4 linked regions of the Macaca mulatta genome follow. The protein of the gene in region 4 purifies or fractionates together with the protein of the main gene of each other region. This does not show direct contact. Links are inferred from orthologs where the notes say so. Each region holds a gene or a part of one and is shown on either strand. Other genes may lie near its edges.

Region 1 (3,134 bases), on a different chromosome or scaffold from region 4:
CCTGAGTAGCTGGGATTATAGGTGTCCACCACCATGGCCGACTATTTTTCTTTTTTTGTAAAGACAATGTCTTGGCCGGGCGCGGTGGCTCAAGCCTGTAATCCCAGCACTTTGGGAGGCCGAGACGGGCGGATCACGAGGTCAGGAGATCGAGACCATCCTGGCTAACACGGTGAAACCCCGTCTCTACTAAAAATACAAAAAATTAGCCGGGCGAGGTGGCGGGCGCCTGTAGTCCCAACTACTCGGGAGGCTGAGGCAGGAGAATGGCGTGAACCCGGGAGGCGGAGCTTGCAGTGAGCTGAGATCCGGCCATTGCACTCCAGCCTGGGCGGCAGAGCGAGACTCCATCTCAAAAAAAAAAAAAAAAAAAAAAAAAAAAAGACAATATCTCACTGTTGCCCAGGCTGGTCTTGAACTCTCCTGAGCTCAAGCAATCCTCCTGCCTTAACCTCCCAAAGTGCTGGGATTACAAGTGTGAGTCACTATACCCAGCCAAAATTCTTAACATGCAATCTTTCCCACCTTCTTCAGCAAAGCAAGTAACAAAATTTAAAATGATCCACAAACTGCTAACAAATCTTTATTCTTTGCATAAATACCATTTAATAACTATTTTTAGCTTTATTATTAAAAGATTTTCTATGGTTTTTAAATACCCCAAATTAATATATACAACGAAATAATAAAGTCTTGAATTATGCCCTTTAAATCACTTACTTTTGCAATTAAGATTCTCTGAACTGGTTCAGAGTCATCAAAAACCACAAAACCAAAATTTGGAAGCTTTCCCCCAACACCCTTGGTATTGATGCGAAGTTCCACAACGTTTCCAAAACCTGTGAAAATATACATTACATCAAGGGTTAAATATTTTTAACAGAATACCTTGATGGCTCAAACTGTTCAGGATGAATAATCTTAATCTCCCTGATCCATTTTAAAATAAAACTTGCAAGCTTCTACACACAGTGATAGCCAACCTACATTTACTGAAGCAGGCAATCACCTAAGATACCAAGTAGCCTGCCTGCCTGTTGTGTTACCTTTCTGCATCTTTGTTAGTCCTTTCATACGTAAACTGTGTAACTCTGGAAAGACAATGTGTTTTCTCCTAATATATTGACCCGTTTGCCAAATGAATTCTTTATCTCTGAATTTATGACTGATTTATCCAGCTGTTTCTTCTAAACACTGTCGAGCCAGGCGAAATCAACACTAAGCAGTCACTGAGAAACATCTGAGATAGCCTACTCCCTTCTGCACAATTAAGGTGAGTCTGGTAGCTGGACACAGTATAAACAGAGAAACATTTTTTTAAAATAGTCATTTAAAAAGCTCCATATGCCTCTTAATTTAAAATAATTAAAAAACTTCTACAGCAAAATAAATCACTTACTCATGAAGAATTCTTTTAGTTCATTTTCATCAATATCATGTGGCAAGTTACCAACAAAAAGTTGATGACTATCTGGATAGCGAATTATTCTACGGTTGTCAGAGTCATTCTGTTCCATATCTCCTCTGCCTGAGAACAGAAATAGAGCAGATATTAAAGTTTACAATATCATAAAAACTACTTCAACAGAATGAATGTAAAAATCACAATATTGATATTCCTGTTTTAGTTTAATAAGAGTTGGTGAGCTTCTTGAAAAAGAGGCAAAACTACTTATTACTAGTAGGTTAGAAAACAGCATGACACTAAAATGTAAAGTGAGGACAATGACTAGGTTGCTAAAATAGCTTCTTCTAGATCTACTGGATTATACAAAAATCAAATACCAGTACAGGTATTCCTCCTTAACCAAACTGTTGCCATCACCCAGGAACCAAGCAGATTTCAGACAGTGAGGTACAGCTCTACTAAATATTTGCTTAGTCTTTTGAAATTCAAAATTCTTTGGCTGTATGACATTACAGCAAATCAGTAAATTTTAACAGCAATTATCACATTTATGTAGTCTATACATATTAGTGTATATGTATATATATACACATAAAATCTTATGATTCTCCCAATAACACGAGGAACACAGTGAGGAAAATAGGCAATACAAGAATAATTTGTGTAATATTTGACATAAAAGCAGCTCAGAATTTAAGGGTCTCACTCCAGATCCTAAGTTTAATCAGTGACAAATTTAGGACTTCTAGTTCAGTAACGTATCACTTTAAAAAAAAATTAACATTGTAAATGTGATATAAACTATCTCCATCTCTCCCATCTCCTCCCCAAAGCAATCTAAACATTCTTACAGAGTTCAAATAAAGGTATTACATGTATAGCTAACAATGTAAACAAGTCAAAAATCATGGCAACTTAATACCTAAGAATCAAAATGTGCTTATTGTTTATCTGTGAAGAGATAAGAGTGCTGAGAGAGTAGGTTATTGGCAACTTGGTTTTGAACTCTTAAAACCAGTGACTAGGCCAGGCGCAGTGGCTCACGCCTGTAATCCCAGCACTTTGGGAGGCCGAGGCGGGTGGATAACCTGAGGTCGGGAGTTCGAGACCAGCCTGACCAACAACATGGAGAAACCCCGTCTCTACTAAAAATACAAAATTAGCTGGGCCTGGTGGCACATGCCTATATTCCCAGCTACTAGGGAGGCTGAGAAAGGAGAATCGCTTGAACCTGGGAGGCAGAGGTTGCAGTGAGCCGAGATGGTGCCATTGCACTCCAGCCTGGGCAACAAAGAGTGAAACTCCATCTCAAAAAAAAAAAAAAAAAAAAAGACTTGTTAACGTCTTTTACACCTTCAAAATATGTCACCATGGCATGTCAACCAATCCTCCCTAAAAATTGGTTATTCGGCCCCAGACACTATTTTAGTGGATTGCTCACATCACATCTTTAAGCAATTTGAGACTATATGGGTCTGTGTATAGAACACATCATAGTTTCTTGGTTTTTTAAAATTCAGTGTTTTCCAACCTTACAAATGTTAAATGCTAAAGGCTATAAAAGAGCTGACTCACCTGGTCTTGGTCCTCTAGGAGGAAAACCAGGTCGTTCTCTAGGTCGTTGTTCACGCACACGAGGTGGCTGAGACTGAACTTCTGGTTTAGCTTCAACTCTTGGCTAAAATATAAAGAAAAAAAAACATTATAAAAAACACTCCACAGGAGA
Region 2 (3,500 bases), on a different chromosome or scaffold from region 4:
GAAACCAAGGTGGGCAGATCACCTGAGGTCAGGACTTCAAGACCAGACTGACCAACATGGTGAAACCCCGTCTCTACTAAAAATACTAAATTAGCCAGGCGTGTTGGTGCACACCTGTAATTCCAGCTACTCAGAAGGCTGAGGCAGGAGAATTGCTTGAACCCAGGAGGCAGAGGTTGCAGTGAGCCGAGATTGCGCCACTGCACTCCAGCCTGGGCAATATGAGTGAAACTCTGTCTCAAAAAAAAAAAAAGATTGATGTTATTGGCTCTTGTAGAGGAAACTAATAAAGTGTCTGTATCTGTGTGATTTGAGGTCTTAAAAAAAAAAAAAAAAAAAAAAGTACTGCCTAGTTTGGTCTTGACATTTTGTTACTTAATTACAGTATTTGAAAGGAAGGGGGCCGGCCGGGCACAGTGGCTCACACCTGTAATACCAGCTCTTCGGGAGACTGAGGTGAGTGGATCACCTGAGGTCAGGAGTTCAAGACCAGCCTAGCCAACATGGTGAAACTCCGTCTCTACTAAGAATACAAAAATTAGCCAGGCATGGTGGTGTACGCCTATGGTCCCAGCTACTCAGGAGGCTGAAGCAGAATTGCTTGAACCTGGGAGGCAGAGGTTGCAGTGAGCCAAGATCATGCCACTGCACTCCAGCCTGGGCGACAGAGCAAGCAAGACTCCATCTCAAAAAAAAAAAAGGAAAAGAACATTTACTTTATCCACTATTACCAAGTGGATGCTGGAGTAGGTGCTTTCGCTGTGTGATCTTATTTAACTGTTAAAAAAAGACATACATTAATAACTAAACTAGAAATTTAATATCCACAGCCACCATATTTTGAGTAAGCTAGACTACAAGTTAGTTATCTAGGACCACCATAGTTCTCTATGCAGTCCATTAGCAATCTACAAATTACTTTTCCAAAAATGCTGGCTTTACCTCATTTGTGACCTTTGCTCCAAAAAGCCAACCTGCTCCTCGCGGACTGATAGCCCAAGTATCCACATCTTCAGGATCTGACCAAACCAGATCACAAAATGCTCCTTTATGAGGAATTTCCTGATTCCGTTCGATGGTTCGAATTTGATCCAGTGTTTTGATATCAGGAGATAAACCACCATGGACACACAAAATCTGCTCATCTATTAACTAGCAAAAAAGGATAACAAAGAGTTGAACATATAACCTCAGGCATATCTAAATTCATCAATGAATACTAAAGATATCAACATAATTGAGATGACAACTAGATAAAAATATGCAATGTGTTATTGGCAGGAACATACATGAGACTTTAAAAATAGAAACTTACAGCTGCTACTGTGAGCATGTCAAAAACTTTGGTACAGTATCTCCAGGCATTAGCATTTCCATATTTGGTTTGGCACTCATCTGTGAAAGAAACAGAAGGGTTTTAATTAATGAATCTGCCAATAAAAATAAACAATATATCCAATACTAGAGCAGCTTTCAGTATAACAGAAATTCAGCTTAAACTAGGACAGCAAGATACGACACATATTTAGTCCTACTAGGACCTCCACATAGAGCCAAAAGAACACTAGTGATTAACTATATACAGTTATATGTCCCTTAATCATGGGGATACATTCTGAAAAATGCATTGTTAGGTGATTTTGTCATTGTGTGAACATCATCACATATCCTTACTAACCCAGATGGTCTAGCCTACTACACACCTAAGCAATATGATATAGCCTATTGCTTCTAGGCTATAAACTTGTGAAGCATGTCACTGTACTAAATATCGTAAGGAAATAGTAACACAAGGGTAAGTATTTGTGCAATAGGAATTTTTCAACTGCGTTATATCTACGGGACCACTGTTGTATATACAGTCCATCATCGACTGAAATGTCATTATGTGGCACATGACTGTATTTCCTAAGGATGTAGTACTGCTCTTCATTCCTGGAATGGACCTAAGAAGCAGCTGAAATTATTAACCAAAATGCTATCATTAGAAGAGTCAAATACAAATTTCACACAACCTGAAGCAAATGTTTTTACAGTTATGTTAATATTAGGTAATTCTGGTAAACAGATAAATTTATTTAAGGAGACCATTCTAGCAGGATAATCAGATCAAACAAATTAGAGGACCCTTAGTTATAGGAACATGAGCAATTCCTAACTCTTCTCAGGGCCAAGTTGTCTCTTCTGAGATTTTCTGCAAATTGTCCAACTAAACACTTGAGCTTCAGTGGATCACAACTGAGGACAGACTGCCAGTCAGGTTCTTACAAATTCCCAGTTGAACACTCTTCCTGCTGCCTCCATAGCTTTTTGTTTTTGAGATAAGGTCTCACTCTGTCGCCCAAGTCGGAATACAGTGGCGCAATCAGCAGTGGCAAGATCACAGCTCACTGTAACCTCAACCACTTGGGCTCAAGCGATCCTACCACCTCAGCCTTCCGAATAGCTGGAACTACAGGCATGTGCCACCACACCTGACTAATCTTATTTCTGGTAGAAATGGGGGTCCCCCTATGTTGTCCAGGCTGGTCTTGAACTCTTGAGCTCAAGCAATCCTCCTACCTCAGCCTCCCACAGTGCTGAGATTACAGGTGTGAGCCACTATACCCTGACTGTCTACATAGTTAATAGGGTACACACTTCTTCTGTTAACACCATGGAAGCTCTGCACTTTGACTTCTTCCATAATTTTAGAAAAAAAAAAACCTGACATACCATTATTGCCTTAAGTGAAGCTGAAAATGATATAGGAAAGAAGTCTGCAGGTTATGACCACTCCCCAAGATTTTCTCAATTATATATCTATGTGAAGCAAGATTGTTATGTAAACTTGGCATAAGAGAGCCCTAACAATGAGCTCAGGTTGCAGGCAGGGATCTTGAGCTTGGCTCTATAGTAACTGCCCAGCATGTGTTTTTTGTTTTTTTGTTTTTTTGTTTTTTTTTGAGACGGAGTCTCGCTCTGTCGCCCAGGCTGGAGTGCAGTGGCGCGATCTCGGCTCACTGCAAGCTCCGCCTCCCGGGTTCACGCCATTCTCCTGCCTCAGCCTCCCGAGTAGCTGGGACTACAGGCGCCCACAACCGCGCCCGGCTAATTTTTTGTATTTTTAGTAGAGACGGGGTTTCACCGTGGTCTCGATCTCCTGACCTTGTGATCCGCCCGCCTCGGCCTCCCAAAGTGCTGGGATTACAGGCGTGAGCCACCGCGCCCGGCCCCAGCATGTGTTGAACTGAAGGCCCAGTGTAAAGTTATATAGGGATATCTTATTCCTTTAAAATCAATGTAAGTCTTATAATAACTAAAATTATCTTATTCCCGAGGAGCTGTTAAGCTTCATTTTATTAAACAAAACCATACAACACCACTACAAGAACAGAGCTCTGGGAACAAGAAAGTTCAATACTAGATTTTGTGTTGCTGTCATTTTCCTCAGTCAAGGCACCTTGATTAAAATGTCCTCCTTCCTCACCCCATTTTTTTCCCCTTTAGCCCTACATTGA
Region 3 (3,500 bases), on a different chromosome or scaffold from region 4:
CCGAAGCGGGCGGATCACCTGAGGTCAGAAGTTAGAGACTAACATGGAGAAACCCGTCTCTACTAAAAATACAAAAATCAGCTGGGTGTGGTGGCATGCACCTGTATTCCCAGCCACTCAGGAGGCTGAGGCAGGAGAATCGCTTGAACCCAGGAGGCAGAGGTTGCAGTGAGCTGGGATCGTGCCACTGCACTCTAGCCTGGGCGACAGAGCAAGTCTCCATCTCAAAAAAATAAATAAATAAAATAGTAATAAACTAAATTAAAAAAAAAAAACCAGACCTCAGCCCTCTGATGTAATGATTAGACTTATATTTCACTTAGGCAAAGTACACATATCTCAGTATTTTATTTTTCTTTCCCTATCTCAATATTAAAAAAAAAAAAAAAAAAGCTGTAAAAGATAAGTCCAGGTGTGGTGGCTCACGCCTGTAATCCCAGCACTTTCAGAAGGTCAAGGTGGGCAGATCCCTTGAGGCCAGGAGTTTGAGACCAGCCTGGCCAACATGGCAAAACCCCATCTCTACTAAAAATACAAAAAATTAGCTGGGTGTGGTGGTGGATGCCTGTGGTCCCAACTACTTGGGAGGCCAAGGCGTGAGGATCACTTGAACCTGGGAGGCAGGGGTTACGGTGAGCTGAGACTGCGCCACTGCACGCCAGCCTGGGCAACAGAGCAAAACTCAAAATTTAAAGAAAAAGCTATAAAAGATGGAGACTAGGCCGGGTGCAATGGCTAACGCCTATAATCCCAGCACTTTGGGAGGCCAAGGCGGGCGGATCACAAGGTCAGGAGATCAAGACCATCCTGGCTAACACGGTGAAACCCCGTCTCTACTAAAAATACAAAAAAACTTAGTTGGGCATGGTGGCGGGCGCCTGTAATCCCAGCTACTCGAGAGGCTGAGGCAGGAGAATGGCGTGAACCTGGGAGGCAGAGCTTGCAGTGAGCCGAGATCACGCCACTGCACTCCAGCCTGGGCAACAGAGCAAGACTCTGTCTCAAAAAAAAAAAAAAAAGATGAAGACTAAGGAATTCACTGAGATTTTATGTGAAGTATTAAAAACCATGCGGTTAATAAAAAACTTTTTAAGCTCTCCACAGCACAACCCAAGGAAGCCTGAAGCCAAGGAAGCCCGAGTTCGTGTGGGAGCACAGCACAGTCAAGTGAGATCTGCCTGCCACCTGCCACCTGCCACCAGTGTGGACGCTGCGTGCTGCAGGGAGCCAGCAGGGCTCGCCACTGGACCAGGCCACCGTGGGACTGTACCTGGTCATGACTCGGGCGTGTGTCCGGCTGTCCATCTTACTTGCAAGGAGCAGAGCGTGACCCCACAGGCCATTCTTCATTGCAGACTCCAAAGCATCCTGCAAAAGGCATTCCAGGGGCCTTGGTGAGTTATCGGTGGTGCTCATGTGACATGAGTCAAGACAGGCGACAGGCCATGTGTCCTCACGCAGCAGCAGATACACAAACAACCCAAAGGCCTCAAAAACTTATTCACCATTTGGAGATTAAGACACGTCAGCATTTCACTATTTTCCTGAGTTTCAAAGTCCCTGTGGTAGTGGGTATCTGTAGATATTTGCTGCTTTTATCCATTTTCAGCATAAAACATAAGCACGCTAATCACAAATAGGGCTAACCACACCGCACTGCCCACCACGCCGCCCCGTCCACTGGGAAACACACGCGGGTCAATTCCCCGGTTCTAACAGGAGGCCTCCACGAATATCCGTCAGCACAGACAGTGGCTCCAGTAAGGCAGCCTCCCCTTTCGCCAAAATCATCTAGGGTATAATTTAGGACTTCAGGCTAGGAGGCAAAAATGCTACAGTAGAGGAAGATGTTAATAAAAGCTAACAGGTTACACGACTTCAATCAGTTATAAAACATCCATAATAGACTCATACTGATCAGGCCGGGCGCGGTGGCTCATGCCTGTAATCCCAGCACTTTGGGAGACCAAGGCGGGCGGATTGCTTGAGCCCAGGAGTTCGAGACCAGCCTGGCAACATGGTGAAACCCCGTCTCTACGGAAAAAAAAAAAAAAAGTTAGCCCGGCGTGGCGGCGTGCAGCTGTAGTCCCAGCTACTCAGGAGGCTGAGATGGGAGGATCACTTGAACCCAGGAGGTCGAGGCCGCATTAAGCGGTGATCACGCCACTGCACTCCAGCCTGGGCAAGAGCGAGATTTTGTCTCAAAAAATAAAACTAAAAAAATAAAAGTACTGGCCAAATATGCCCTTTCTGAGTTTATCATGATATAAAAGGACGGAGAGCTCTGGGCCTATCCAATGTCTCTGCTATTCAGGGCCACACATGCCCGTGAGACTGGCCTCTCTCCTGCTTAGCACATCCAAAGCGGACATCATGCGCCCTAGACAGGCCCTCCTGTGAACACACTGTCCCTGCTGCAGTCGCTATGGACCCCCCAATCCCACTGTCCCAGAGCAGGCTCCTGTCTCAGGTCCCCCACCTGCCCTGGTCCCCAGGCTGCTGTGGCCCCAGTCACTGGACGCTATACGCACTGGCTGCTCCCCTGCCCGTGGCCTTTCCATGCACTGCGCCTCTGACAGGCTGGGTGCGTCCTCCCAACTCCCAACGACTTCTGGGCTGTGGACTCGAGCCTGACTTTGTGAGAATGCCAAAACTCGTGTCATGCATGTCTCATCTGAGACTTGGCACACACAGCAGGGACACGGCCCGTGCTCAACACGTGCATTTATTGAATGACTGAAAATTCCATCTGCAGGTCTCCAACACTGGAAATAGTTAGAAGGAAACCCACATGAACACCTCCAGAAGGATGGCATAAAAGAGGCCGGCATCGTTCACGAAACAGCAAGACCCGAAGCCCCACACCGCAGCGCGGACGCTCCCGAGAGGGGCCGTGTCCCTCCCCAACGGCTGCATCGCCCGCACCAGGCCCGACCCAGTGGACACCTGCAGGCGCCAGGTGCCATGATGGGCAGGCGCACCTTCTTACGGCCATACAGCAACAGCTCCCTGAACCGCTCCGTCTCTCTCTCAAGAGAGCTGGCAGCAGCCGTCGGACCACCAGTGAGGAAAGAGAGCTGGGCCTCGCCAGACTCCTCCTCTTCCACCTGCTCCACCGCCTCGTTCGTGAAATCAATCAGGTTTGCTTCATTGGGCGACTTCCCAGGAAGCCACACTGTTCTGTGGTCTCGTAAGAGAAGCTCCGCAATGTCGGTCCCTACCACGGTCTGTTCGGGTCAACAGGAACAGGAAGGAGAACAATGGCTCTCAGGTGAGGACGCATTAGATCATCACGGGGACAAAGCCCCACCCTGGACACAGCCAGACCCACAACTACCCGAAAGGCTGGCAAGGCTGGACTGAAACCTCATCTCATCCCAACCGCATGTTCCCTCTCCCTCCCCACCCAGTCCTCGAGGCTCCCACAGCTGGGCAGGCGGATCTCGCCCTGCTCCGCCAGGAGGCTGAGCATGCAATGCCCAAGACGAAATGAAGACCAG
Region 4 (4,298 bases):
TAAAAAGGCTGGGCACGGTGGCTCACACCTGTAATCCCAGCACTTTGGGAGGCCCAGGCGGGCGGATCACCAGAGGTTGGGAGTTCGAGACCAGCCTGACCAATATGGAGACACCCCCTCTCTACTAAAAATACAAAATTAGCCGGGCGTGGTGGTGCATGCCTGTAATCCCAGCTACTCGGGACGCTGAGGCAGGAGAATCCTTTTGAACCCATGGCTGGAGGTTGCGGTGAGCTGAAATAGTGCCATTGCATTCCAGCCTAGGCAACAAAAGAGAAACTCCATCTCAAGGGAAAAAAGATACAAACAAACAATAATAATTGAAAAAAATTCTTAAAAAATTTCCATACAACAGTAATTTTTTTAATTTTTAAATTTATTTTTACTTTTATAGACTTTAGGGGTACATGTGCAGTTTTGCCTCAGGGATATATCACATAGTGCTGAAAGTCTGTACCCAACTGAAATTGTACCCAACTTCTGAATAACGTTCACATTTGTCTCATTCCCCTCCTATCCTTCTACTGAGGAGGTTTTTTTTGTCCTGTCCCTAAAAATGTCACCGTAAATCTATTTGATTAGGGAAAACAATGTTTGGTTTGACCCCGACGTGATTTGAACACGCAACCTTCTGATCTGGAGTCAGACGCGCTACCGTTGCGCCACGAGGCCTGCCCGAGAGGGTGACTTGAGGGGTCTCTTGAACAGCAATAAGGGGAGGACTTTTGTCATGAAGCCGTATCTTTAAGATTTGTCAGCGCATTTCTGCGAGGCACCAGCTGACGAGATGTGGGCGCACGTACGTAGGAATCTGAATAAATAATAAAGAGGCAAATTGTGTTTAGGCGCATTTGACTTAGGGCCCAGTTCCTTAACTTGAATCACATTGAGCTCATTGAGCCCACTCTACAGAGAAGCGATTTTTATGCGTCTAGGACTCTTTTTTTTTTTTTTTTCTGGAGATGATAAATCATCATGATGCCGCTGCAGTTCTCGCCCCCTGGAGAGATCTTAGATGTAATCCCAGCTCTGCCGGTGACTCAACTTCTTTGGACCTTGGTTTCCTCGTCTGTAGACTGGGCATAACCCTACAGGTTCATGTGGGGTGGCGCGCACTAGCGGTAAAGGTCACGCACAATTGCGCCGGGCAGACGACAGCAGCCATTACTTTTACCTGGATCTCGCTGATGCTGTTTCCCTGGCTCCGCACGGGTCCAACGCGACTCACCGCAATCAACATGAGGTATGAAAGAAAACAGCAGTACCTAAGCGTTGGTGGTATAGTGGTGAGCATAGCTGCCTTCCAAGCAGTTGACCCGGGTTCGATTCCCGGCCAACGCAAGTGCATTTTGAATTTTTTTTTTTCCCTCTTTTCTTTCTCGTGTTTTCTGGGCCCCACCATCGTTGAGGATTTTCGTGAGGTTTTCCTGAGGAACCGTCCTCTCCGAAAGAACCCGCTTTCCGCTACACCTGCGACCACTGCCGGACCACCGCGCTCCTGGCGGATGCGCCCTGCAAGCCCCTCCAGGTGAGAGCAGCCTGTCGGAATTTCGGCCCGGGGTTGCCTACTGTTCCCGGATCGCAGTGCGAATCCACAAAACGCAGGGAGGTGAAAGGAAACAAAAGCCCGGGCTCTGCACCCTGGACAGCCGGGGGCCAAATGGCTGCTTGCCCAGGTTCAAGCAGAGACTGGAAATGCGCACTGCCGTCAAGGAGGGAGCAAGCTAGATCAAGTTTGAGCACTAATGAACATATTGAGCGGAGGAGATAGTGGCCACTTTAGGTACACGTTTGAACTCCAAGTTGCTTGAACTAAAATGGAAACTTAGAATGCGAGCTGGAGAGGTAGGCCAAACTTTCCTCCCCTCCTCCTTTCCCTCTTTTTTCTAGCTCCATCCCAGGGGCCAGGACGGATTTAATGAAAGCAAAATCATTTGGATTCTCCCCCTCGGGGAATGGAACCCCGGTCTTCCGCGTGACAGGCGGGGATACTCACCACTATACTAACGAGGAGTGACCCGTCAATGGTCGTCTCCAAATCCTTGATCTGGGACTTTACACTCGGCTTGCTGACAGCAGAGTTCCTAAGGGTTCTGTTCTTCCGACCACCGAGAAAAGCCGACCAGAAACTGTAGGTGTATTTCAGGCACCCATCGTCAGACGGAGTGACCGAAAGAGACAGAGTACCTCCAGGGCTGCAGAGAACCAAGTTCTGACAGTTCCTGGGCTCTCCCGAACACTGTCATCCACAACTATAGATTGATGGGTGTCAATCAAACCGAAACCAGGCTGTAGTGGCGGAGTTGAGACACCACGCAGGAAGTCAAGAAGCAGAAAGGGAGCGTCCTGCCCAAGTCTGGGCGTGCCTCGTCTCTTCCTGACATGCCAGGCGGGTCTGGGGACTGAGATTCTTTCTGTTACCCCGGTGCCACAAAAGAGCTTACTGTACATTGATGATTTCCAGTGAAGCCTCCTGCAGCGCTGGTCAGGTAACACATTCCTTGAAGACACTCTTATTTCAGCAAAACGTAAAGGAGGGCTCGTCCGGGATTTGAACCCGGGACCTCTCGCACCCGAAGCGAGAATCATACCCCTAGACCAACGAGCCGACGTACGAATGCCGTTGCGAACCGCCCTAGAGGTCGTGCCAGGCTAGCTGTAGTGCCGGGTCCACTATGCATGGCAGAACGGTCCTGGCGCCGCTCAGGAACCAGCCTCCCCCAAGCCTAGTATTTTGGAGCACGGGTCTGGGAGTCCCTTGGCTCTGGGCCGCCAGCTCCAACTCCTCCCAGGAAATAGCGTCGAGGAAGTGGAAGGGAGTGGCCTCAGCCTAGCCCCCGCGCCGCCCTGGAGGACTGCCTTGAACACCCGGGTTCCTGCTTCCTTTGGTCACCGACTCGGTGCCATTCCGTAACCTGGGATCTTGACAATTCCCGCCTCCGCCTGCGGTCCTTGGACCTAGTCCTTCGTTGCAGAGCTTTGAAGAGAAGCGGTGGAGTTGCTTGCTTTCGGGACGGGTCGGAGACAGTTAATGAGCCTTGAAATCACTAGGGGAACACCAGTTCCCCGTGTCTGTCTATCCTCCTGGGCTAACGGGCAGGGCAAACCCCGGGCCAGACCCGTCGATAGACTACGGGTTCCCCAGACCGCGTGGCAGTGCCCAGGCGAGGGAAAGAGGGAACGATTTCTGGGGCCCAGGAGACCCACGGTGGAGGGCGTTATTGATCTGGGTGACTGGAGTGGGACAGGCTTTCCACCCTGCAGTGGGGCGGGGCGCAAGGCCAGGCGACTAGTCTCGTGGCTTCTGGACTGTAAGATCAGGTTACCCCTACCCTCCGGTCTAACCTCTGCTCTCCAGTCCCCTCCTAGAATGGCCTAGAAGGAGACCTTCCTGCCTGCCTCCTAAGACCCCCCCGAAGGCTCTGAGGCAAGTGGCCTCACGAGTGTGGTCTAAGACCTGTAGACCCGGTTTGGGGACTTAGCAGTACTCCGGAGCTGCCCAGAGTCCCAGAAGATCTGGTGGAGTCAGTAGCAGACCACGTGTTCTGCCTTTCCTCAGCTCAGTGCCTGTTCTGGGGAGTCCTCCCCGCGGGGTTCTGGCCTGCATCGGTCCTGGACCAGCCTGGTAGCATCTCTGGAACCATTTTGTTCTACACCCCAGTTATGTGATTTGTGGGGCCAGGCCGTTCCTAACGCCCAACCCATAGATACGTTGACGGGGCCTTCAGTGAAGGATTCAGCTCCTATTTGTCCTTTCCCAGGTGTCCCTGGGCAGACAGTGGGGAAGGGCAGAAGTTAGCCCAGTCTTTCCCATTAGTGTCCTAAGTCTTTGAGACGGGTAAAGAGGTTCTCAGGGCTGATCTGGCATCTCCTCCCCCATCCCTACCCTTTTCCAATTCCTGTCTCCCTCCCCTTGGGCTCCAGCTTTCTCTGCAAAATAATCCAGTCACCTCTTTCTTCCCTGGTCTGAAGAACTTAATCTCTGCAGAAGGGGAGGCCTAAATCCTTTATGACCCTTATGAAAGCTATGACCCTCTTCCCCGGGGGCGGTGGCTCACACCTGTAATCCCAGCACTTTGGGAGGCTGAGGCGGGTGGATCACAAAGTCAGGAGTTCAAGACCAGCCTGGCCAAAATGGTGAAACACCGTCTCTACTAAATATACAAAAATTAGCCCGGCACGGTGGCACGCGCCTGTAATCCCAGCTACTTGGGAGGCTGAGGTAGGAGAATTGCGCAAACCCAGGAGGCAGAGGTTGCAGTGAGTCAATATCGTGCCACTGCACTCCAGTCTGGGTG

What was found.
Region 1: the proteins of AURKB (region 4) and G3BP2 purify together in Homo sapiens (affinity purification with mass spectrometry; 3 studies listed by BioGRID and IntAct, with this or other methods). This does not show direct contact. The link is inferred for Macaca mulatta from reciprocal best matches to the Homo sapiens genes AURKB and G3BP2.
Region 2: the proteins of AURKB (region 4) and PPP6C purify together in Homo sapiens (affinity purification with mass spectrometry, with the first as the bait; 3 studies listed by BioGRID). This does not show direct contact. The link is inferred for Macaca mulatta from reciprocal best matches to the Homo sapiens genes AURKB and PPP6C.
Region 3: the proteins of AURKB (region 4) and SEC16A purify together in Homo sapiens (affinity purification with mass spectrometry; 3 studies listed by BioGRID and IntAct, with this or other methods). This does not show direct contact. The link is inferred for Macaca mulatta from reciprocal best matches to the Homo sapiens genes AURKB and SEC16A.

Annotation. Positions count from the first base shown.
Region 1 is NC_133410.1:58,161,530-58,164,663, reverse strand, and holds part of G3BP2 (ras GTPase-activating protein-binding protein 2), read right to left. Parts: intron 3,087-3,134; coding exon 2,984-3,086; intron 1,529-2,983; coding exon 1,400-1,528; intron 840-1,399; coding exon 721-839; intron 1-720.
Region 2 is NC_133420.1:22,615,210-22,618,709, reverse strand, and holds part of PPP6C (serine/threonine-protein phosphatase 6 catalytic subunit), read right to left. Parts: intron 1,396-3,500; coding exon 1,316-1,395; intron 1,153-1,315; coding exon 943-1,152; intron 1-942.
Region 3 is NC_133420.1:6,037,235-6,040,734, reverse strand, and holds part of SEC16A (protein transport protein Sec16A), read right to left. Parts: intron 3,228-3,500; coding exon 2,982-3,227; intron 1,369-2,981; coding exon 1,271-1,368; intron 1-1,270. UniProt on the Homo sapiens protein: Acts as a molecular scaffold that plays a key role in the organization of the endoplasmic reticulum exit sites (ERES), also known as transitional endoplasmic reticulum (tER).
Region 4 is NC_133421.1:9,727,390-9,731,687, forward strand, and holds the start of AURKB (aurora kinase B), read right to left. Parts: upstream 2,801-4,298; 5' UTR 1,997-2,800; intron 1,342-1,996; exon of another isoform or gene 1,270-1,341; intron 812-1,269; exon of another isoform or gene 601-811; intron 1-600. UniProt on the Homo sapiens protein: Serine/threonine-protein kinase component of the chromosomal passenger complex (CPC), a complex that acts as a key regulator of mitosis.